4 linked regions of the Arabidopsis thaliana genome follow. The protein of the gene in region 1 purifies or fractionates together with the protein of each later gene. This does not show direct contact. Each region holds a gene or a part of one and is shown in the gene's direction. Other genes may lie near its edges.

Region 1 (5,979 bases):
GATTCTCAATGTAAAAGAAGATCTATTTTTAAATTATGGAAAGGGGAAAGTTGAGAATATAAAGCTGTTTAAGATCAAATGTGGGAGTGGGAGTCACCAATTTTAGTAAATTACGCTTTTAAGTAAAAGTAAAACTTGGATTTGGATGGATATGAAATTTAGTGGATCAGCGATAGTTTTTGAGAGTGGAAACACATTTAAGATGTTGAAAAATCATTTTTGAAAGAAATTAAGTATTTTTTGGGGGTTTGAATTGAATATTTACAAGAAACTAGATTTTAATCCGCTGAATATCGCGGGACTATTTTGGTTTTTTACAAATAAAAATTTAATTTGTTAAGCCTGTTAACGGCTGTTAACTTATATGTCCGATTCGACCAATAATTAAAATACAGTGTTTTATTTGGCAACAATTTATTAAGTGATGTATTTTTATTTCAATCCAAAAGTATTGAGTATTAAACTTCCAAATTAAAATTTGTTTGGGATTTTTTAAGCATTTTTGCCTTTAATGTTTTGTATTTTCTGAATGTATAACTCTTACTATGTTTGATTTTTACTGTTTAAAAATATAGGAACAATAATGTACAGTTCATTAAGTTAAAATCTAGATTATTATTAAATAATTTAAATTTTAATTATGTTTATTTTATTAATAATATTTATTTTGTTAAGTTTTTAAGATAATATAATTATATTTTGATTGTTATATCTAGGATTTCACCCATGGTATAACGTCTCGTATTACTATCAACTCAAACTCGTCCTACCATGTAATCTCGTTCACTGAAACTAAACATATCTAATAGATTTCACTCTTGGTATATCATCTCGTATTACAATCGACCCAAATCTGTCCTACCATCTAAACTCGTTCACTGAAATTAAACATTTTGTTTTTGTTATTTTATTTTAATAATACTTTAATTTAAAAGATATATAATTCAAATTAATTTAAAAATCTTCTTTCAAATGGTTATTTAATTGTTGTAAAAGTCATACATTATAATATTCTACATCCGTCTCTCCATCTAATCTAGTTCGGTAAATTAAACATTATTTTTTTTTTTTTGTTCTAATAATATTTTTATTAAAAGATTTATAATTCAATTCAATTTAAAGTTTTCTTTTGAAATGGTTATTTAATTTAATACATTTCATATATTATATATATTCTAAACATTTTTCGGTAAATATCCTAAATATTTTATAAATTTTAAATAACTATATTATTTATCTTTAATAAATTATAATGTTAATAAAATCCTAACATTTTTCCTTTTTAAAAGTAATTAGAATTGATGGATATATATTAGATAAGTAAATGCTAATAATTAAGAATATTAATTATTTGATAATAATAAATGTCAATAACATTTCTTGTAAATAAGTTCCAACTTGAAGATTTATTTGTTAAAATGGCAGCGAAAATGTATATGTAGAAGATGGAGATCATATGTTGGTGGTTGCTATTAGATGTAAAACATAACGTTGTACTGTGAACTATATGCCATGTATTTCTCCTCCACAAAATCTATTCTCTGGAAATTAACCTAAATTTTTAAATATCTGTATTTTGCCTCCTTTTCATTCTATTTTGTTTGATACAAACGATTGTGGTTTGTAATGTTAAAATTAGGAATGTTATTGAATGATATGTATATTTCATAAAAATAATAATAATAAAAGTAGGATGAATAGTAAAATTCCAAGGCATTTCATAATTTACCCATTACATGGTCAAAATTTATCAATATTTTAAAATAATAATAATCATCCAATCAAGATTTTGGGAATAGAATATCTTAAGAACTTAGTATAATTACATATATATATATATATTCCCTTTTAAATGTATCAAAAACAAACTAAGAACATACAAGGAATTTGATGTAGTACTATACAATTTACATGCAAACAGATGTAGTACTATTTGATGACAAAAAAAAAAAAAAAGATGTAGTACTATTTTATCTTTTCATCGGAATAATTCGGTCATGAAGCTATTAATTGGTTTTAATGAGAATTTATTATAACAGTTGTTGCCACACTGTCGAAATACTAACGCCTAACGGCTAGTTAAATAATTAACACGCGGTGAGAAGTGAGTGAGTTACACGAACCACTAAGAATCTAATATAGGAAGATAAGATAAGCATTTCACACGTGTGGTGTGGACAATTTAACAGTGTTAACACGCGCATGGCATGTGATCTAGAAATTAGAACATTAATTTTAGCGTTTTGACTTTGACCTTTGAATCACTAGGCGTAGGTATTTACACGTGTAACAATATAATTTTTTTCAATATGTGATGATCATGGGCCAACGTTTGTGGGTAAAGGTGTGGTGTTCGATCATGATCCACTTAAATTTACTGAATTTTAGAATTATAACAGCAGAAGGATATAAGTAATATACCAAACTTAACTATAATCTACCTCTCCTTGTCTATGTATACTAAATGTCTAACATGTAACACAAAGCTGTACAAAATTTTTAACTCTCAAATTTTTTGAAATAATGCAAAGCTGTAAAAATAGCTGTACGAGAAAACTGTACAATAAAACTGAAAATAAAAAAATTTGTAACGTTTTTGATAAAAGTTTTGTAAATGTATAACCATCAAAACTGTACAACTTCCAGCTTTGATAATGAATTACCATTCAAAGCTAGAGTTTCGAATTTTTTCATTGTATACAACCATTTGAACACAACTCTTTTCAATTATGCCATACATACATTTAGTTAATAAATTTTACCGATTAACTAGTACTGACAAAAGAAACAAAGAGTAATTATATTTTTTTGATAAATTGTTTTATTAGAAAAATACTTAAAATTGATAAAAATAAATAAACCCAATTGATATATTTGATATTACAATACCAGATATTGAAACAAATAAGACATGTTTTGTCTATATACTTCCAACTAGAAGATATTTATTTATCCATATCCTAGATATTTTAATGTGTGAATCTAATACATTCTCTTATATACGACCAAATAGTAAAACAATATGCCTCTCCTGCAATTTTTCTTCATCCAATATTTCTATGGAGTCATCTTCTTCACTCCTTCATCACTCTTACCTCTCTTACCTTAATCCAAAATTTGGAAAAAGACCTTTGGTTTCTTATCCATTAATGCAGAGTTCGCGAAAATGCAAACAAACTCGCATTTGTTCTAACAAGATGTATGTTCCCGGTATGTAACAATATGACATATTCATCACAAAATGTGGTTTTTATTCATACAGAATTGTTCTATATAGATTAATGCCTATTTTTCTAATGTTTTTTTTGTTATATAATTGAATTAGGCTTTGGAGAAGCTTCACCGGAGGCTAAGGCAGCGAAGCATCTTCATGACTTCTTTACTTACGTTGCAGTGAGGATAGTGTCTGCTCAGCTTGAGGTTGATTTGACGATTTATTTGATTTTTTAATTTAGGTGTTTTGATTAATAATAAGTATGATCTATATATTAATTAATGACAGAGTTATAATCCTGAGGCTTATATGGAGTTGAGAGAATTTTTAGATACAAACTCTGTAAGTGACGGTGATAAATTCTGCGCCACTCTCATGCGTCGCTCTTCACGTCACATGAACTTAGGTACCAAAAATAACACCTTTATATCAATAATTTGGTTATAAAATTCTAGTATGCGTTTTCTTTTTGTGAAACTTGTTAGTTGGAATTTTAATTCTAGGTTCTTAAAGTTATACATTATACTTTTTTAACAAATTTGGTTTTCTTCTAGTAATTTAGACGAAATCTCTTTACTTTTTCCAAACATTCTTTTCGTACATTGGAAGTTGAAACTTCTCACTAAAATAACTAGTTATGGGAGTTCGGTTTATATATTCGGTTTCAGTTATATCCATTCGCTTATCGTTTTTTTTTTTGTTTTAAAGTTTAGTATCCCTTCGGTTAATTTGAAAGTTCGGTTCGGTTTCGATTATTTCGGTTTTAAAATTTAGTATCCATCCGGTTATTTTGCTTTAAATATTTTTGGATATTTCGGTTATTTTCGGATATTTTTGGATATTTTCGGATATTTTGAGATATTTTTTTTATTATTTTTGAATATTTTTACTATTTTATATATATTCTCAAGTATTTTTAATTATCTAGTCTAGAAATAACTAATACTTTTGTAAATATATATTTATATTTTAGATATTTTTGGTTACTCAAAATATTTCGGTTGGTATCCATTCGGTTTCAGTTATTTCGATTATAAAATTTTGTATCCATTCAATTAGTTTCTGGTTATCGGTTCTGTTTACTTCGGTTTTGGTTTGGTACATCTGGTTCGGGTAATTTGCTCAGGCACAAAACTAACAGTATAACACAACTAATCTGTGCAATTCTTGTAAAGAAAAACTACTTCAAAAATTGCGTGACGAAATACAATTCCACCAATTTGCGGATTACTAACGAAATCACTTTGTAGATCCATAAGTTTCGTATATCTTTTAGGTATACATATACTTGATATGAGATAAGTAAACTAAAAACTTTGCTTTTTTTTTTTGGTATCATGGCCAATGCAACAAGCCCTTCGAATTTTAGAGGTAAGCTAAGCTTTTCTTTTCTCCTTTAATACATTTTCGAAAACACTTCTACATCTTTTCTCATCTCTACGTTTGTATTTACGGTTTGAAACCGTTTGTTACCGCTTAGGTACGGTCTGCTTATTGTAAAAACGATTTCGAATGGGATAATATGAAGCGCCTCGCCTTCAAGGTTCACTTCTATCTATCTCTCTCTCTCGTTGTACATATATGAATGCAAGTACGTAATGAAGCATCTTGTGTTTTTGAAAATGCAGAACGTAGATGATTCCAACACAAGACTCATGCGCGAGTACGTCTTGGAGACTAGCCATGTCGAAACCGATTCTGATAAGTGAAACCGAATATCTCTTCGAATCACATTCATATATATAGAGTCTTGAGAGTATACACACTTGAAACCGTTTGTACATACATATACATACCATTGTGCTATGTTACTCCCAGGTTTTGATACCTTAGTTTTTTTTACCTGCAAATCGATCAAAACCCGATTTTCTTTGCGGAGTTACCTAGAGACGGGAATGGATACCGGGAGAGGCATGGATTTTGCCCGACCCAAAATACGATTGAGCATAGTCTTCGATATTCTCTAACCTGTCATGAATCGAATAAGATGGGTTTAGGACCAACAAAAATGAAAGCTTCGTAGCTGAATAATTTAAAGTACAAAGTTTACTTTACCTATAGACATAGTTTACCATAATGCCTCCACTTTGACGAATACCTTTCTCTGATCGATCCGCCATCCAATTTATTCTTTCAACCATCTATGTAACGTATCAAAACATGAAAGCTTATCAATCTCAATCACTCTATTAACTAAAACCTATCGTCATTCACTGGACTTACCGCTCCATTTTGCAAGTGGAAGTTAGCAACAGAGTCTAAAGCTTTTCCTCTCTTCTTCTCTTGCAAGAGGTACCTATCAAAATCAAGAAAGACCATTGAAAGTTATGCCTATATGATTCATATATAACCATTACATCTCCTCCAAGAATGAACATACCTAGCACATAACCGCATAAGAATAGGTTCTAAAACTGGTAATAGGCGAGGCGAAGTAGCCCAATCGCAGTTCTTTACTGATAGCAAATTCAACAGAACTTCCATACCGTTGCTACCGGATGAAGATTCACTGCATAAAAAGATCACTGAGTTGATGACTTGAACTTGATTTTCTATATAACAGATAAGAACATAAGGGCATGAAGAAAATCTTACTCTGATAGAGTCATGAGGGCATGTTCCTCTTCTGGTAGTAATACTTTCTCACTAAACGTAGATGAAGGCGAATTGCTCTGTGTACCACGCTCATCTTCAGCAAATCTTGACTGAGATGATAACTTCGAGAGGAGCCATTGCATGAATCCAGGAATGGGGCTAAGTGTTGC
Region 2 (6,217 bases), on another chromosome or scaffold:
TCAAGTTTGTTCTGGTCTAGTTTTTACGTCATTTTTATGTACTCTCGTGAACTTTCAAGTTTAATAAAATCCATGGTGCCATTGAAAAAAAAAGATCTCAAAGACATAAGCATACAATAAAATTTGTTTTAAAAAGTTTGAAACAAGTCAACGATGATTCGTTAATTTTCATTGCTAAAATGATTGGATCATTCACAATTAACAAAAATGAGGAAAGAATATTGAGAGAAAGATGATAAGGTTGCCATACAATATAAACCCATACCTAACTCTCAACTATATCTCAACCCCCAGTCATTTATAGTTACTATTAAGCCATTAATATTATTTCTTTGTTAATGAGACCATTTTTATTCTTATTTTAAATAATCAAACAAAATGAAGAACCATATTTGACTGTGTTTTTTTGCGATTTTTAAATTATTTTATTGTAAACTAAACTGTGGAATTATTTATTTTGTTGATATTTTAATTTTTTTATTCCTACAAATAGTTAAGAATTTAATATTGGAAACATGAAACTTGAATGCATGTATTTCTATCACTACAAAATAAAATTGATGGTTGATTTTAACATAACCTTTTTTATTGGTCAAACATTTTAACGATCTGATGATTGATTTTATGGTTTGTTACTTCTAATAAAAAGAAAAATATCTCATTATTAAAAACGAAATTTCTATGTATAAAATTATCGCTATATTATCACTTTTACTGAACCGATGTCAAATTACTCGATTACAACATCAATTGTTATAATTGATGCTAAACTACATAGTTTGTATCATTTATTAATAAATAATTTTTAAATTGATATTGTTTATTTTTGTGATACTATGTAAGTGCTGCAATCAACCATTTTTCTTGTATTGTATGAAAATGATTTGCCTAAAATCATATATCAGCTAATCAAAGAGATAGATGCATATGTGCTAATTAATTAAACAATACATATGAAATTATACCTCTTATATAAAACCATCGACAAAGAGTTGTGATGAATGATGATTTCTGTATATTAATGATTTTTGGTGAAACATATAAATGATTTTATAAATATGAATGGTTTGCAATACAATATGCTTTTATGAATTATAGTCGTGATAAATAAAGTAAAAGCATATCTGAGACACTAACATATACGATATAGTCTAGAATGTGGTAAAAGTTTTTATTATCCTTAGCTTAACATGGCCATGCATATTATTGTGAGATGACCACCTCATGCGTATGAGGTAGATAGATGAAGAATTGGTAAAAATCTATGAATTGATTTTACATGACTAACTTGAACTTGGGTGCAACACTAATCTAGATCTTGGTCCAATATACGTTCTACTAAATGAGAAACAAAACATTAAAACATTTGAAACACATAATTTACAAGCAAGAGGAAAATAAAATGTTGGTAACCTAAACCACCCAACCTTGTGTCAACGACTCAACGTACACAAATACAATTCCTCTTGGCTTTAATCTATTATATTACACATTCCTAAGACAATAATAAATATTTTCTTTAAAACGGAAACAGACCGACCAAATAAACGAAATAATAAATCTCATACAATGCGATCCATTTGCTATGGCCTCTTGTGACGTATTTGAAGTTCATTTAACACAGACGGTAGAAATTTATTGTCTTCTTCATGGCTTACCTAATACTATTTTAAAATAGATATCTTTCATTGCTTAACAAATTTATACCATTCTTCTTTTATTCGGCACAAATCTATGTTTTGCTATCATTTGCTTTGTTCGGATACAAATGTAAAAGAGATAGTTATGTAGTAAACTAAATGTAGTAAACTTTTAAATAAGAAAATTATGAAATAAACTCAAATCAGCATTTTCTTGATACTTTCTAATAGTCTTAAATATACACAAGAACAAAACATAAGTATATAACCATAAATTGAAGTTAGCTAAAGAGAACATAAATCTAAAGATGGTAAAGGAATAATATTTCTTGATTTGGCCTGCGAATATATTGAGAAAAAAGTTTCCAACAAGTTAAATGTATCTTATATAAAGCATTAAGAATGGTATATATTAATTTAAATATAACCTAGAAAAACTATGCAAAAGATTTGTTTGGGTTTGAAGATTATCCACTTAAATTTGGCAATTAAATTCAAGAAACTATTGGTAAATTATATATGCCAAAAACTAAACTGGCAAAAAATATTGAAATCTCCGGAGATAACCGAAAAACCTAAGTTTTATCGATTAAATCTAATCATATTCTCTAGATTTTCTCTGAAATTAAAAATTATTCTGATGTCTATAAAAAATCACAAATTCCATATAAAATTTCCTGTAATCATATATTTTTGGTTTGGTTAAAATTTTTTTTTTTCCAAAACTTGAAATAAAACTTTGTATAATAATACTATGCAATAGATTTGTTCGGGTTAGAAGATTATCCATCTAAATTTAGCAACTAAATTCAAAAAACAATTGATAACATAATATATCTCTGTAAACTATATATGCCAACATAAAAAATATTTTTTTCTGCAAAATAAACTGGCAAAAATTATTGAAATCTTCGAAAATGACCGAAAAACCGAAGTTTTATCGATTAAATCTTGTCATATTCTCTAGATCTTCTCTCTGAAATAAAAATTGTTTTGATGTCTATAAAAAATCACAAATTCCATATAAAATTTCTACAGTATTCAATTTTTTTTTTGTTTTGGTAAATAAAAAAACTTGGTTCTAAAACTGGAAATAAAACTTGAAATAAAACTTTGTATAATACTACAATGAGAAGCATTGGGAAATAATATAGCGGAAAAAACAAGAGTGGGGGGATGAAATGAGGTAGCTGAGGAACAAGTACGGCGCCTCCTAACAAAAAGGGATCGAAAAAAAACAATGGAGGTGTGGAGTGTGGCGGAGGCAGAGACCACGTGCTCTCTCTTCTCTTCTTCTCCTTCATCTTCTTCCTCTCTTCATCATCTCCCATTATTAACTCTTCTGACCCCACTTTCCTTCTCCTCTTCTAACTCCAACCTACCCTCTTCTCTCTTCCCTCTCTTAAAACCCTTTCTCTCTCCCTCATTCTCTTCCATGTCCTCCTCTCTGTTATTCTTTAGCTAAACACCCACAATTCTGGCCTTCTCTGATGCCTCTTTAAGCCAATTTGTATCTCTGCTTCCTTACAAGGTTTAAAGTTTTCTGCTTTTGCTGATTTTGTTATTTGGGTGTTTTAAAGTTTTGATTTTTATGGTTTAGCAATCGGAATTTGGACTTGTTTTTGTGATTTTTTACTTGTTGTTGGAGTTGGGTTTTGTTGAGTTTTTGTTATTTGGGTGTTTTAAAGTTTTGATTTTTATGGTTTAGCAATGAGAATTTTGCACTTGTTTTTGTGATTTTAACTTGTTGTTGAAGTTGGGTTTTGTTGAGTTTTCGACTTCAATATTGTAGAATTTTAGTGGGTTTGGGGAGTTTATAATCATTAGTTCTGAGATCTCTCAGATTTCTAAAGGAACTCATTATTATTGGGTAATGATGCTTTCTTACTTGCAAGATCTTTGCTTATGATTGCGTTTTGCTTTTTCTATACTCTTTTTTTCTTCATGTGATTACGCAAAAGCATTGCTGTCATCTTTGTTAATTCCACCTTGTAATCTGAAGCATCTTTGTTTGTTAGATTAAGCAACCAGATTAGGAATTGTTTTAATATTCCTGTTATGTTCTTTCAAGTCATTTTGGTAGATAGCATCAGTTTCTTTGTAAAGTGATTCAGTATGTGTTTATGGCTGTTTTGTAGATATATCTGAAGCTTAAAGGGCAGTGACAATGGCTGGCTCGGTTAACGGGAATCATAGTGCTGTAGGACCTGGTATAAATTATGAGACGGTGTCTCAAGTGGATGAGTTCTGTAAAGCACTTAGAGGGAAAAGGCCGATCCATAGTATTTTGATAGCTAACAATGGAATGGCGGCTGTGAAGTTTATACGTAGTGTCAGAACATGGGCTTATGAAACATTTGGTACGGAAAAAGCCATATTGTTGGTGGGGATGGCAACCCCTGAAGACATGCGGATCAATGCGGAGCATATCAGAATCGCTGATCAGTTTGTTGAGGTTCCCGGAGGAACCAACAATAACAATTATGCTAACGTTCAGCTGATTGTGGAGGTGAATCCAACTTTTGGGAACTACTATTATCTGAATTATCGTGTTTTACTGTACAGAACACATGTATTAAGCTCAATTTCAGCAATGAAGTTTTGGTCTTTGGAGTTATTTTTCATTCATCTGAACATCTTTGTCTACAACCTGTGTGCAGATGGCTGAAGTAACACGCGTGGATGCAGTTTGGCCTGGTTGGGGTCATGCATCTGAAAACCCCGAATTACCTGATGCCCTAGATGCAAAAGGAATCATATTTCTTGGTCCTCCAGCATCTTCAATGGCAGCACTGGGAGATAAGATTGGTTCTTCGTTGATTGCACAAGCTGCTGATGTACCCACTCTGCCATGGAGTGGTTCCCATGTAAGTAAATTTACTCTTGTTAAGCTTAGCTTGTGTACCAGAGGTATATATTTTCATTTTTATATACTGAATTCCTATGTTTTCAGGTTAAAATACCTCCTAATAGCAACTTGGTAACCATCCCAGAGGAGATCTACCGGCAAGCATGTGTCTACACAACTGAAGAAGCGATTGCTAGCTGTCAAGTTGTCGGTTACCCAGCAATGATCAAAGCATCGTGGGGTGGTGGTGGTAAAGGAATCAGGAAGGTCAGCTTCTGTAGATATGCCTTTTGATTGTGGACTAAGCCGATTACTATATAAGTACTTATTCTGGTTTTAAATTTATAGGTTCATAATGATGATGAGGTTAGGGCTCTATTCAAGCAAGTTCAGGGTGAGGTCCCAGGCTCACCAATATTCATAATGAAGGTTGCGTCACAGGTATGGCTGCTTAACTATATCTCTTGATCGAAGCTTAGCTGAGTTCTTATCTGGTTACTTTACTAGAGAATTTAAAGTAGTAATGCATTGCTTTTCTTTACATTTCATTTTTTCTAATTTTTTTTTTGTATAGAGTCGGCATCTAGAGGTCCAGCTGCTCTGTGACAAGCATGGAAATGTTTCAGCTCTGCATAGCCGTGATTGTAGCGTCCAGAGAAGACATCAAAAGGTTTGTTAGTGGTTGATTCTGGATTTTTAATTGTCTGGTTAGTGGTTATATAGAAAAACATTCTGTCCATTTATTCTTATATAGTTATATACATCAATTTTTGTTCTCCAACTGAGTTATAGTCCCTTTTAGCGATTGCAAATTATTGCATGAGCTCTTACTTTATCGTTTGTATCGTAGATCATAGAGGAGGGTCCAATTACTGTGGCTCCGCCAGAAACTGTCAAGAAACTTGAACAAGCAGCTAGAAGGTTGGCTAAGAGTGTTAACTATGTTGGAGCTGCTACTGTTGAGTATCTCTACAGTATGGACACTGGGGAGTACTACTTCTTAGAGCTTAACCCTCGCTTACAGGTTGGTTTCATACTGCAGCTTTTTGCGTTGAAATATATTGAAGGTCCGGACTTGAAAATTGAATGACTTGTTTAACTTGATGTTTGAGGTCAGGTTGAGCATCCTGTCACTGAGTGGATTGCCGAGATAAATCTTCCTGCTGCCCAAGTTGCTGTGGGGATGGGAATTCCTCTCTGGCAAATCCCTGGTATAATCTACGTCCTTATTTCTTACAGGCAGCGGTTCCTCTTCTTTATCCATGCACACGAATAATGTACTGTCTGTTTCTCTTTAATTTCGTAGAGATAAGACGGTTCTATGGAATAGAACATGGTGGAGGTTATGATTCTTGGCGAAAAACATCTGTTGTAGCCTTCCCTTTTGATTTTGATAAAGCTCAATCTATAAGGCCAAAAGGTCATTGTGTGGCTGTACGTGTGACAAGTGAGGATCCTGATGACGGGTTCAAACCAACCAGCGGTAGAGTTCAGGTAATGTGATATCTGTGGAATGCAAAGTGAAAGTTCATTCACTGAGAACTCTGTGGGTAACACTTGTATGAACTTGCAACAGGAGTTGAGTTTTAAGAGCAAGCCAAATGTGTGGGCGTACTTCTCTGTCAAGGTAATTATATCTATAGAGACTCTGCTATATAAGTGTTTCACAATGTTTTAAATTTTACGACTACTTTTTTACAGTCTGGTGGAGGCATCCACGAGTTCTCGG
Region 3 (5,386 bases), on another chromosome or scaffold:
TCAATTTGCTGTTGCTTGTTTCAGATCCGTTTGCTGATGCGAATGTTGAGGACTCAGGTGCCGGAACAAAAGAATACGTTCATATCCGTGTCCAGCAGCGAAATGGTAGGAAAAGCTTGACAACCGTCCAGGGCCTGAAGAAAGAGTACAGCTATACCAAGATACTTAAGGACCTCAAGAAAGAGTTTTGCTGCAACGGCACTGTGGTTCAGGATTCAGAACTCGGACAGGTAGGTTTTATCAAAACACTCTATTGATCCATGTAGTGGAAAGTGGATGATAATATTTCTGTCGTTAGTGCCTGCTTGAACAAACCAGAATGATTTGGCCTCTTATCTGAACATTTGAGCTTCTCTGTTTTAGTTTTGTTTATGGTTTGTGTTGATTTGTAGGTTATACAGCTTCAAGGTGACCAACGTAAGAACGTCTCCACATTCCTTGTCCAGGTAAATATCAATAACTCTACGAGTCTCTTTACTGCTAAAACATACAAACTGTGTAAGATGATTGTCTGATCTCACTGTTTCTCTGTAATCACAGGCTGGTTTGGTGAAGAAGGATAACATCAAGATCCATGGTTTCTAAGCTATCTAGTGGATCATATTATTAATAAAACCATATCTTTTTCTTTCATCTCTTGTTGCGAATTTCGGGTTTGATTCATCAAAATCGTCTTCTTCCTAGTGTTCTTCTTCTGTTTGGTATTCGAATTTTAATGGCTTATGTTCACCATACTTCTTCCCCTGTTTTCGTGTTACTCTGTTTCACATCTTACTTATCTTATAATATCAGTTTGTTAAGATAATTCTGCTCTAACTTGTTATAATTTTTCTCTACAATGGTTCATAGTTTTAAAATTATATAAGGACCAACCGGAAGTTTATACGGTCGATACTTTCCAAGTATACCAAATTGCAGGTTTTAGTTTGGACCACAAAAAAGTTCAATGATCAAAAAGGCTGATGTATCTTCTCACTAGTAATAATAATTCATAAGCACACAAATAATGATAAATGAACTGTCTCTGTCACTAGTAAAGTCCAAATGCCGTCTCTATCGTACAAAGATATTTCACCTTCTTGTTGTTCGTGTCACCACACACTCACTGCAACTGGCTACAGATGTTCCCAGATAAAAGCTTCGAGATATTTTTTTATACATTTATTTTGATCCATATCACAATATTAATTGCAAAGTTTTTTCCCTTTTCTTCAAGAAATAGAGCAATCCGATTCAGTCAATTCTTTGAAGTTATAACAGTAATCAATTCGCCATTAATTTTATACATTTAATCAATGTATAATATAAGTATTTTTCTTTCATAAATGGGGGAAAAAAATAGAGATAGTTTTTGACCAAAAAAAAAATAAAAAAAAATAGACATAGTCATTGGAGATGGTTTTACTAAATTTGGGCTTGTTCAAGAGAAGTGTCTTTTCTTCATTCAATCAGAACCGTGAAGAAAGGAGATCGTTACTTTCCATTGATGGCTAAAAATTAAAATAATCACGATAAATATTAATAATACAAAAAACAATTAAAATAACAAAAAAAGATCAAAAATTCTCTAACCCTTCATTCCTTATCTCTGACGTGGCCATCAATCTTCAGATTTTCTTCTTCTTCTAATTTAAATACTCAACAACCACTCTTCACTTCACCATCAGCATCACTAAACTCGAACCCTAAAGAAAAACAAAAATGGCTGCCATAGCTTCTACTCTCTCTCTTTCTTCAACCAAACCTCAGAGACTTTTCGATTCTTCCTTCCATGGCTCAGCCATCTCCGCAGCTCCTATCTCCATCGGTCTCAAACCACGATCTTTCTCCGTTCGCGCCACAACCGCTGGTTACGACTTGAACGCTTTCACGTTCGACCCGATCAAGGAATCGATCGTGTCACGTGAGATGACGAGAAGGTACATGACGGATATGATCACTTATGCTGAGACTGATGTCGTCGTCGTTGGTGCTGGATCTGCTGGTTTATCTGCTGCTTATGAGATCAGTAAGAACCCTAATGTTCAAGTTGCCATTATTGAGCAATCTGTTAGTCCTGGTGGTGGTGCTTGGCTCGGTGGTCAGCTTTTCTCCGCCATGGTAAGATTTAGATTCATTTGCATGTGTGATTTTGTTGAAGTTTTGAGTTCTGTTTCTGTTTTAATGGAGAATTAGGGTTTAGATTGAATCATTATGAGTATTGATTGCTTGTGCTTATGGTAGATTGTTCGCAAACCAGCTCACTTGTTCCTTGACGAGATTGGTGTGGCTTACGATGAGCAAGACACCTACGTTGTGGTTAAGCACGCGGCTCTGTTCACATCAACCATCATGAGCAAGCTTTTGGCTCGTCCTAATGTGAAGCTCTTCAACGCTGTGGCTGCTGAGGATTTGATTGTGAAAGGAAACAGAGTTGGTGGTGTGGTGACTAACTGGGCTCTTGTGGCTCAGAACCACCACACACAATCGTGTATGGACCCTAATGTTATGGAAGCGAAGATTGTGGTTAGCTCTTGTGGTCATGATGGTCCTTTTGGAGCTACTGGTGTTAAGAGGTTGAAGAGTATTGGGATGATTGATCATGTTCCTGGGATGAAAGCTTTGGACATGAACACTGCTGAGGACGCTATTGTGAGGTTGACCAGAGAGGTTGTTCCTGGTATGATTGTTACCGGTATGGAAGTTGCTGAGATCGATGGTGCACCGAGAATGGTGAGTATTCTTGACCTATATATGTTTGATTTGGTATCCATAGTTTTCGTTAGATCATGTCCTGAGTTAGTTTGTGGTGATGTAGGGACCAACTTTTGGTGCTATGATGATATCGGGACAAAAGGCGGGACAACTTGCTCTTAAGGCTTTGGGGCTACCGAATGCTATTGACGGAACTCTCGTTGGAAACCTAAGCCCGGAGCTGGTCTTAGCCGCAGCAGATTCAGCTGAAACCGTAGATGCTTAAAATCAAAAGGTTTTAACGTTAAGAAAAGTTTCCCTTGATCCTTCGGATGTTGAAGGAGTGCAATAAAAGGAGTTTAGGTGTTTAATATGTCTTGAACTTTTCTGGTGTCTTTGTTTCTCTCTTCTGAACTTCTGTGTAAAATATCGTATCCGTTCATTCGTAATGCGTATGTTCTCGTTCTTCTCCTTCTTTATGGCTCTAGTACAAGCAGCTTTCTCGTTGTCGTTGGCAATACAAAATCTGTCTAAATTTGAGGGATGAGATTAGTGTTGGATGTCGGATTCTTGTCTTCAATTCTGATTCTTATCCTTGAAGAAATTATGTATAGATAGAGCTATTCAATGTCTATAGTTTCTCTGCTGATGAAAGAACGAAGAGTTTTATGATTTTAGATTCAGAGAACAGAGGAAAACTGTGAAATAGAAAGAAAAAAGTTTTTACATTTCTTTTATGAACATATATATATATATATATATACTGATGTCTGACCTGGAATTCAAATACTCCATCCTTATTTACATATATAATCCGACTTAGAAGTGCAACAATGAGTTTAGAAATGACATCGATGATAATTCTTTTGTGTGCTTTTTTTTTGTTTTGGTTTGTGAAACAAATATTACAAAATGTGTGGATTTGTATGAACAGTTTACAACGAGAAGTTGTTGTGTAAATTGGGCTCTTTTCTTCAGAATTCTTGCCACCCAAGGAATCGTTAGTCACTTTTTTGTCGCCGGTTTTGTGAGTTATCAAATATGTATAAAAACATACAAAAACGCTACTACTCGTGAATCTTCTGCAATGCTATTTCTTGGCCTGAAATACCAAAAACAGAACAATCAGAGAGTTATAAGATAGCTAAAGAAGGATCATACACAAACTCATAAGAGTATAAAGCAAACCTTTTTAAGATACTTCTTGTGAAGTTTCATTGCACCAGTACAGGCTTTTTTAGCATCCAAGTTTCCGGTTATGTCGTTTAAGATCTGAGCAAAATACACAGATTAAAGAGGACTTCACTTGTAAAACAGATAAAAACCGCTCTGAATTCTCTGCATTACCTTTACAACGTCATCAAGTCCTCGAGCTTCGGTCATTAACTTAGAACTCTTGTCTTTCAAAACACTAGCCACTAAGAAAACAGAGATAGGCAAAGGACCTTCCGCGCTTTTCCCTCCATTCTTCATGTTCTCTCTCTCGTACTTCCCGCATTGGTTTATCGACTTTGGTTTACCTTTGGAGGAACCTTCGATTCTCTCTCCCTCGAATTGAGGCTCCTCATATAGAGAATACATTTCAGGGTCGTACTCTAATGCCCACATCATCTGCTCAAGGAATACATGTACGTATCAGTCTTTATTAGTGTGCGGTCAAAGAACAATGTTTCTGAGTTTGTGATTTGTGAAGTTTATAAAGAGACGAAGAAGAACGTTACCTCCCAAAGGTACAAGGAGTCACAAAAGGAGAATTCTCTTCGGAACTGAACCATTATCATTCGAATAGCAAAGAGATAGTCACCACCACCCAATTTCTCTGCATTTCAAGATCCATAATGTCTTTCAAGATCTCTCTTGCTCAACCAGTGACGATTAGTTATATACTAAAAGTGAGGTTAGAAAGCTTTAATAGATACCTAAGTGATGGTGAAGTTTGGGGTCAATAATCTGAGTGATTGAAGCCAAATGAGTAAGCTGTGCTTCGACTCCAACTGATCTCCCCGTGTCACGAAAATTCCCTCGCTTTCAAGTTCAAAAGAAGAATAAAAAACCTTTAGTATTATCTGATTACAGAGAGAGTCAAGACAAACTTATATGAACACAAAACATAGAGGTATAGTACCAATCGGCGCATCAATCTTTCGAAACACCAAAAAGCATCAGCTTCGTCCTCAAGAAGCATAATCATAGGGGAACAAAGATCACTCATTCCTACTCAGAAGAAAGAGTAGATAGATCAAAACATAAGAATCAATCAGGGCTTGAACAAAGGATAAACCCTGTTCTTTCTTTATATTTAACTGCTTACCTTGGCAATAACCAACATCATTGTCTATCCATGCGTAAAGAGCTAGAATGTCCCAAAGCTTAGACAAGTTCTCCTTTTTCTCATAGAATACCAAAGTCCTATCTGTGCGATTTACATCAAGACCTGAAAACAAGAGTTTACGCAAGTCAATTCAATGACATATTGAATTATCTCTCTGTTGTGACCAAAGCAGTGTTATTACAGACCTATTTGGTGAAGTGTTAACAGCCATTGAATAACTTTCTGGTCCAAAGGTCCACGGCTTGCAAGATCTTTGAAGAAATCTGAACCATTTGCACCTGAGATAAAACATAAAAATTATAAGTTCTAGTGAAAGGTGTTTGTTCTACTGTTTCCTAGAGCAAAAGATACAAATTTTTACCTAAATTTGTTTCTTGTAGT
Region 4 (5,047 bases), on another chromosome or scaffold:
TGTCGATAAATAGAAGTACGTCTTGCTCATTAACATCTCGGAAATATTCTGCCATAGTTAAGGCAGTCAGACCAACTCTCATACGAGCTCCTGGCGGTTCATTCATCTGACCATAAACTAGGGCCACTTTGGATTCCGCAAGATTTTGTTCATTAATGACTCCAGATTCTTTCATTTCCATGTAAAGATCATTTCCTTCACGAGTCCGTTCGCCTACTCCACCAAATACGGATACACCACCATGAGCTTTAGCAATGTTGTTGATCAATTCCATAATTAGTACTGTTTTACCCACGCCAGCCCCACCGAATAGTCCAATTTTTCCCCCACGACGATAAGGGGCCAAAAGATCTACTACTTTAATTCCTGTTTCAAAAATCGATAATTTTGTATCTAATTCTATAAAAGCAGGCGCGGATTTATGGATAGGAGATGTTGTGCGAGTATCGACAGGACCTAAATTATCAACGGGTTCCCCAAGCACGTTGAAAATTCGTCCTAGAGTCGCTCCGCCGACTGGAACACTTAGAGGATTTCCCATATCAACCACGTCCATTCCTCTCTTTAAACCCTCTGTCGCACTCATAGCTACAGCTCTAACTCGATTATTTCCTAATAATTGCTGTACTTCACAAGTCACATTAATTTCTTGACCAAGAGTATCTCGACCCTTAACCACCAGAGCATTGTAAATATTAGGCATTTTGCCCGGGGGGAAGGCTACATCCAGTACCGGACCAATGATTTGGGCGATACGTCCCAGGTTTTTTTTTTCACGTATCGAAACCTCTGGATTTGAAGTAGTAGGATTTGTTCTCATAATAAAAAAAATATGTTAAATTTTGTTACGAATTTTTTCGAATACAGAAAAAATCTTCGATAGCAAATTAATCGGTTAATTCAATAAAAAGTGGGAGTAAGCACTCGATTTCGTTGGTCCCACCCAAGCGGATGTGGAATTCAATTTTTTATTCATTCAATGAAGGAATAGTCATTTTCAAGCTCAACTAACTGAAACCTAGTTTTAAAATAAAAAATATATGAATAAAAAAATTTTTTGCGGAAAGTCTTTTATTTTTTTATCATAATAGGAATAGGCAAGCCTTTGTTTTATCTAGCGAATTCGAAACGGAACTTTAGTTATGATTCATTATTTCGATCTCATTAGCCTTTTTTTTCGTATTTTCATTTTAGCATATCCGGTTATGCGTCCCATTTATTCATCCCTTTAGCAACCCCCCCTTGTTTTTCATTTTCATGGATGAATTCCGCATATTGTCATATCTAGGATTTACATATACAACAGATATTACTGTCAAGAGTGATTTTATTAATATTTTAATTTTAATATTAAATATTTGGATTTATAAAAAGTCAAAGATTCAAAACTTGAAAAAGAAGTATTAGGTTGCGCTATACATATGAAAGAATATACAATAATGATGTATTTGGCGAATCAAATATCATGGTCTAATAAAGAATAATTCTGATTAGTTGATAATTTTGTGAAAGATTCCTGTGAAAAAGGTTAATTAAATCTATTCCTAATTTATGTCGAGTAGACCTTGTTGTTTTGTTTTATTGCAAGAATTCTAAATTCATGACTTGTAGGGAGGGACTTATGTCACCACAAACAGAGACTAAAGCAAGTGTTGGGTTCAAAGCTGGTGTTAAAGAGTATAAATTGACTTACTATACTCCTGAATATGAAACCAAGGATACTGATATCTTGGCAGCATTCCGAGTAACTCCTCAACCTGGAGTTCCACCTGAAGAAGCAGGGGCTGCGGTAGCTGCTGAATCTTCTACTGGTACATGGACAACTGTGTGGACCGATGGGCTTACCAGCCTTGATCGTTACAAAGGACGATGCTACCACATCGAGCCCGTTCCAGGAGAAGAAACTCAATTTATTGCGTATGTAGCTTATCCCTTAGACCTTTTTGAAGAAGGTTCGGTTACTAACATGTTTACCTCGATTGTGGGTAATGTATTTGGGTTCAAAGCCCTGGCTGCTCTACGTCTAGAGGATCTGCGAATCCCTCCTGCTTATACTAAAACTTTCCAAGGACCACCTCATGGTATCCAAGTTGAAAGAGATAAATTGAACAAGTATGGACGTCCCCTATTAGGATGTACTATTAAACCAAAATTGGGGTTATCCGCGAAAAACTATGGTAGAGCAGTTTATGAATGTCTACGTGGTGGACTTGATTTTACCAAAGATGATGAGAATGTGAACTCCCAACCATTTATGCGTTGGAGAGACCGTTTCTTATTTTGTGCCGAAGCTATTTATAAATCACAGGCTGAAACAGGTGAAATCAAAGGGCATTATTTGAATGCTACTGCGGGTACATGCGAAGAAATGATCAAAAGAGCTGTATTTGCCAGAGAATTGGGAGTTCCTATCGTAATGCATGACTACTTAACAGGGGGATTCACCGCAAATACTAGTTTGTCTCATTATTGCCGAGATAATGGCCTACTTCTTCACATCCACCGTGCAATGCACGCTGTTATTGATAGACAGAAGAATCATGGTATGCACTTCCGTGTACTAGCTAAAGCTTTACGTCTATCTGGTGGAGATCATATTCACGCGGGTACAGTAGTAGGTAAACTTGAAGGAGACAGGGAGTCAACTTTGGGCTTTGTTGATTTACTGCGCGATGATTATGTTGAAAAAGATCGAAGCCGCGGTATCTTTTTCACTCAAGATTGGGTCTCACTACCTGGTGTTCTGCCTGTGGCTTCAGGGGGTATTCACGTTTGGCATATGCCTGCTTTGACCGAGATCTTTGGAGATGATTCTGTACTACAATTCGGTGGAGGAACTTTAGGCCACCCTTGGGGAAATGCACCGGGTGCCGTAGCCAACCGAGTAGCTCTGGAAGCATGTGTACAAGCTCGTAATGAGGGACGTGATCTTGCAGTCGAGGGTAATGAAATTATCCGTGAAGCTTGCAAATGGAGTCCTGAACTAGCTGCTGCTTGTGAAGTATGGAAAGAGATCACATTTAACTTCCCAACCATCGATAAATTAGATGGCCAAGAGTAGATGAATTAGATTTAGTAATTCACGTTTGTTTTATTAGTTTAATTGCACTCGGCTCAATCTTTTTTTTACTAAAAAAGATTGAGCCGAGGTTATCTGTTGTATATACTATTTTTTTTGATAGATACATACTTAAATTTAGATAGAAAAAAAACTCTTCAATAAAAAAAAGAAGATTAAACACAACTACAATTTTGTTATTGTAGTGTTGTGTCCACAAGAAATCCTATACGAAACATGGATTCTTAATTCTTAGGAGTGTTATATTCTTTCGTGTCAGGGCTTGAACCAAGTATCCCCGCTTCTTCTACCCCATCCTGCATGTTGTCCTTTTCTTTTCATTCCGTATTGGAATAAAAAAAGTTTTTTTTTATATTAGTATACGAGATTTTACTAAAAAAGTTCTTAATATTCTTATATTCATAAGCGAAGAACAAATATTTCTTTTTTTTTTATGAGAATTTTACACAATATAAGAAAATCCTTCTTTTCATTTAGAATTAAAATTGATTCATTTCAATTACTTTACTTAATAATCTTAGCAATTGCATCGATATGTTTTGCTTACTCTGAATAGAAAATGAACTATTCAAAAAAATTTTGCATTTTTCAATTTTTTCATTGAATGACTATTCATCTATTGTTATTGTATTTTCATTTAAATAGAGGCCAGAAGCTCTATGGAAAAATCGTGGTTCAATTTTATGTTTTCTAAGGGAGAATTGGAATACAGAGGTGAGCTAAGTAAAGCAATGGATAGTTTTGCTCCTGGTGAAAAGACTACTATAAGTCAAGACCGTTTTATATATGATATGGATAAAAACTTTTATGGTTGGGATGAGCGTTCTAGTTATTCTTCTAGTTATTCCAATAATGTTGATCTTTTAGTTAGCTCCAAGGACATTCGCAATTTCATATCGGATGACACCTTTTTTGTTAGGGATAGTAATAAGAATAGTTATTCTATATTTTTTGATAAAAAAAAAAAAATTTTTGAGATTGACAATGATTTTAGTGACCTAGAAAAATTTTTTTATAGTTATTGTAGTTCTAGTTATCTAAATAATAGATCTAAAGGTGACAACGATCTGCACTATGATCCTTACATTAAGGATACTAAATATAATTGTACTAATCACATTAATAGTTGCATTGATTCTTATTTTCGTTCTTACATCTGTATTGATAATAACTTTTTAATCGATAGTAATAATTTTAATGAAAGTTACATTTATAATTTCATTTGTAGTGAAAGCGGAAAGATTCGTGAAAGTAAAAATTACAAGATAAGAACTAATAGGAATCGTAGTAATTTAATAAGTTCTAAGGATTTCGATATAACTCAAAACTACAATCAATTGTGGATTCAATGCGACAATTGTTATGGATTAATGTATAAGAAAGTCAAAATGAATGTTTGTGAACAATGTGGACATTATTTGAAAATGAGTAGTTCAGAAAGAATCGAGCTTTCGATTGATCCGGGTACTTGGAATCCTATGGATGAAGACATGGTCTCTGCGGATCCCATTAAATTTCATTCGAAGGAGGAACCTTATAAAAACCGTATTGACTCTGCGCAAAAAACTACAGGATTGACTGACGCTGTTCAAACAGGTACAGGTCAACTAAACGGTATTCCGGTAGCCCTTGGGGTTATGGATTTTCGGTTTATGGGGGGTAGTATGGGATCCGTAGTAGGCGAAAAAATAACTCGTTTGATCGAGTATGCTACCAATCAATGTTTACCTCTTATTTTAGTGTGTTCTTCCGGAGGAGCACGAATGCAAGAAGGAAGTTTAAGTTTGATGCAAATGGCTAAAATTTCTTCGGTTTTATGTGATTATCAATCAAGTAAAAAGTTATTCTATATATCAATTCTTACATCTCCTACTACCGGTGGAGTGACAGCTAGTTTTGGTATGTTGGGGGATATCATTATTGCCGAACCCTATGCCTATATTGCATTTGCGGGTAAAAGAGTAATTG

What was found.
Region 2: the proteins of RbcX1 (region 1) and ACC1 purify together in Arabidopsis thaliana (affinity purification with mass spectrometry, with the first as the bait; one study listed by BioGRID). This does not show direct contact.
Region 3: the proteins of RbcX1 (region 1) and THI1 purify together in Arabidopsis thaliana (affinity purification with mass spectrometry, with the first as the bait; one study listed by BioGRID). This does not show direct contact.
Region 4: the proteins of RbcX1 (region 1) and rbcL purify together in Arabidopsis thaliana (affinity purification with mass spectrometry, with the first as the bait; one study listed by BioGRID). This does not show direct contact.

What each region holds. Positions count from the first base shown.
Region 1 is NC_003075.7:2,115,644-2,121,622, reverse strand, and holds RbcX1 (Chaperonin-like RbcX protein), read left to right. Parts: upstream 1-3,005; 5' UTR 3,006-3,059; coding exon 3,060-3,210; intron 3,211-3,325; coding exon 3,326-3,420; intron 3,421-3,502; coding exon 3,503-3,620; intron 3,621-4,568; coding exon 4,569-4,585; intron 4,586-4,694; coding exon 4,695-4,757; intron 4,758-4,842; coding exon 4,843-4,923; 3' UTR 4,924-5,070; downstream 5,071-5,979. Other genes in the region: AT4G04320 (malonyl-CoA decarboxylase family protein), read right to left, coding at 5,098-5,182, 5,270-5,355, 5,438-5,510, 5,595-5,723, 5,810-5,979. UniProt on the Arabidopsis thaliana protein: Chaperone involved in RuBisCO assembly process.
Region 2 is NC_003070.9:13,530,389-13,536,605, forward strand, and holds the start of ACC1 (acetyl-CoA carboxylase 1), read left to right. Parts: upstream 1-2,779; 5' UTR 2,780-3,171; exon of another isoform or gene 3,172-3,510; intron 3,511-3,778; 5' UTR 3,779-3,807; coding exon 3,808-4,149; intron 4,150-4,300; coding exon 4,301-4,507; intron 4,508-4,593; coding exon 4,594-4,755; intron 4,756-4,836; coding exon 4,837-4,929; intron 4,930-5,062; coding exon 5,063-5,158; intron 5,159-5,338; coding exon 5,339-5,512; intron 5,513-5,605; coding exon 5,606-5,699; intron 5,700-5,794; coding exon 5,795-5,982; intron 5,983-6,064; coding exon 6,065-6,115; intron 6,116-6,189; coding exon 6,190-6,217. UniProt on the Arabidopsis thaliana protein: Multifunctional enzyme that catalyzes the carboxylation of acetyl-CoA, forming malonyl-CoA, which is used in the plastid for fatty acid synthesis and in the cytosol in various biosynthetic pathways including fatty acid elongation.
Region 3 is NC_003076.8:22,244,933-22,250,318, forward strand, and holds THI1 (thiazole biosynthetic enzyme, chloroplast (ARA6) (THI1) (THI4)), read left to right. Parts: upstream 1-1,586; 5' UTR 1,587-1,701; coding exon 1,702-2,100; intron 2,101-2,223; coding exon 2,224-2,712; intron 2,713-2,797; coding exon 2,798-2,959; 3' UTR 2,960-3,400; downstream 3,401-5,386. Other genes in the region: AT5G54760 (Translation initiation factor SUI1 family protein), read left to right, coding at 25-230, 393-446, 541-585; AT5G54780 (Ypt/Rab-GAP domain of gyp1p superfamily protein), read right to left, coding at 3,764-3,775, 3,862-3,945, 4,021-4,284, 4,395-4,492, 4,593-4,698, 4,799-4,887, 4,985-5,107, 5,191-5,283 and 1 more. UniProt on the Arabidopsis thaliana protein: Involved in biosynthesis of the thiamine precursor thiazole. Catalyzes the conversion of NAD and glycine to adenosine diphosphate 5-(2-hydroxyethyl)-4-methylthiazole-2-carboxylic acid (ADT), an adenylated thiazole intermediate.
Region 4 is NC_000932.1:53,337-58,383, forward strand, and holds rbcL (ribulose-1,5-bisphosphate carboxylase/oxygenase large subunit), read left to right. Parts: upstream 1-1,621; coding exon 1,622-3,061; downstream 3,062-5,047. Other genes in the region: atpB (ATP synthase CF1 beta subunit), read right to left, coding at 1-820; accD (acetyl-CoA carboxylase beta subunit), read left to right, coding at 3,739-5,047. UniProt on the Arabidopsis thaliana protein: RuBisCO catalyzes two reactions: the carboxylation of D-ribulose 1,5-bisphosphate, the primary event in carbon dioxide fixation, as well as the oxidative fragmentation of the pentose substrate in the photorespiration process.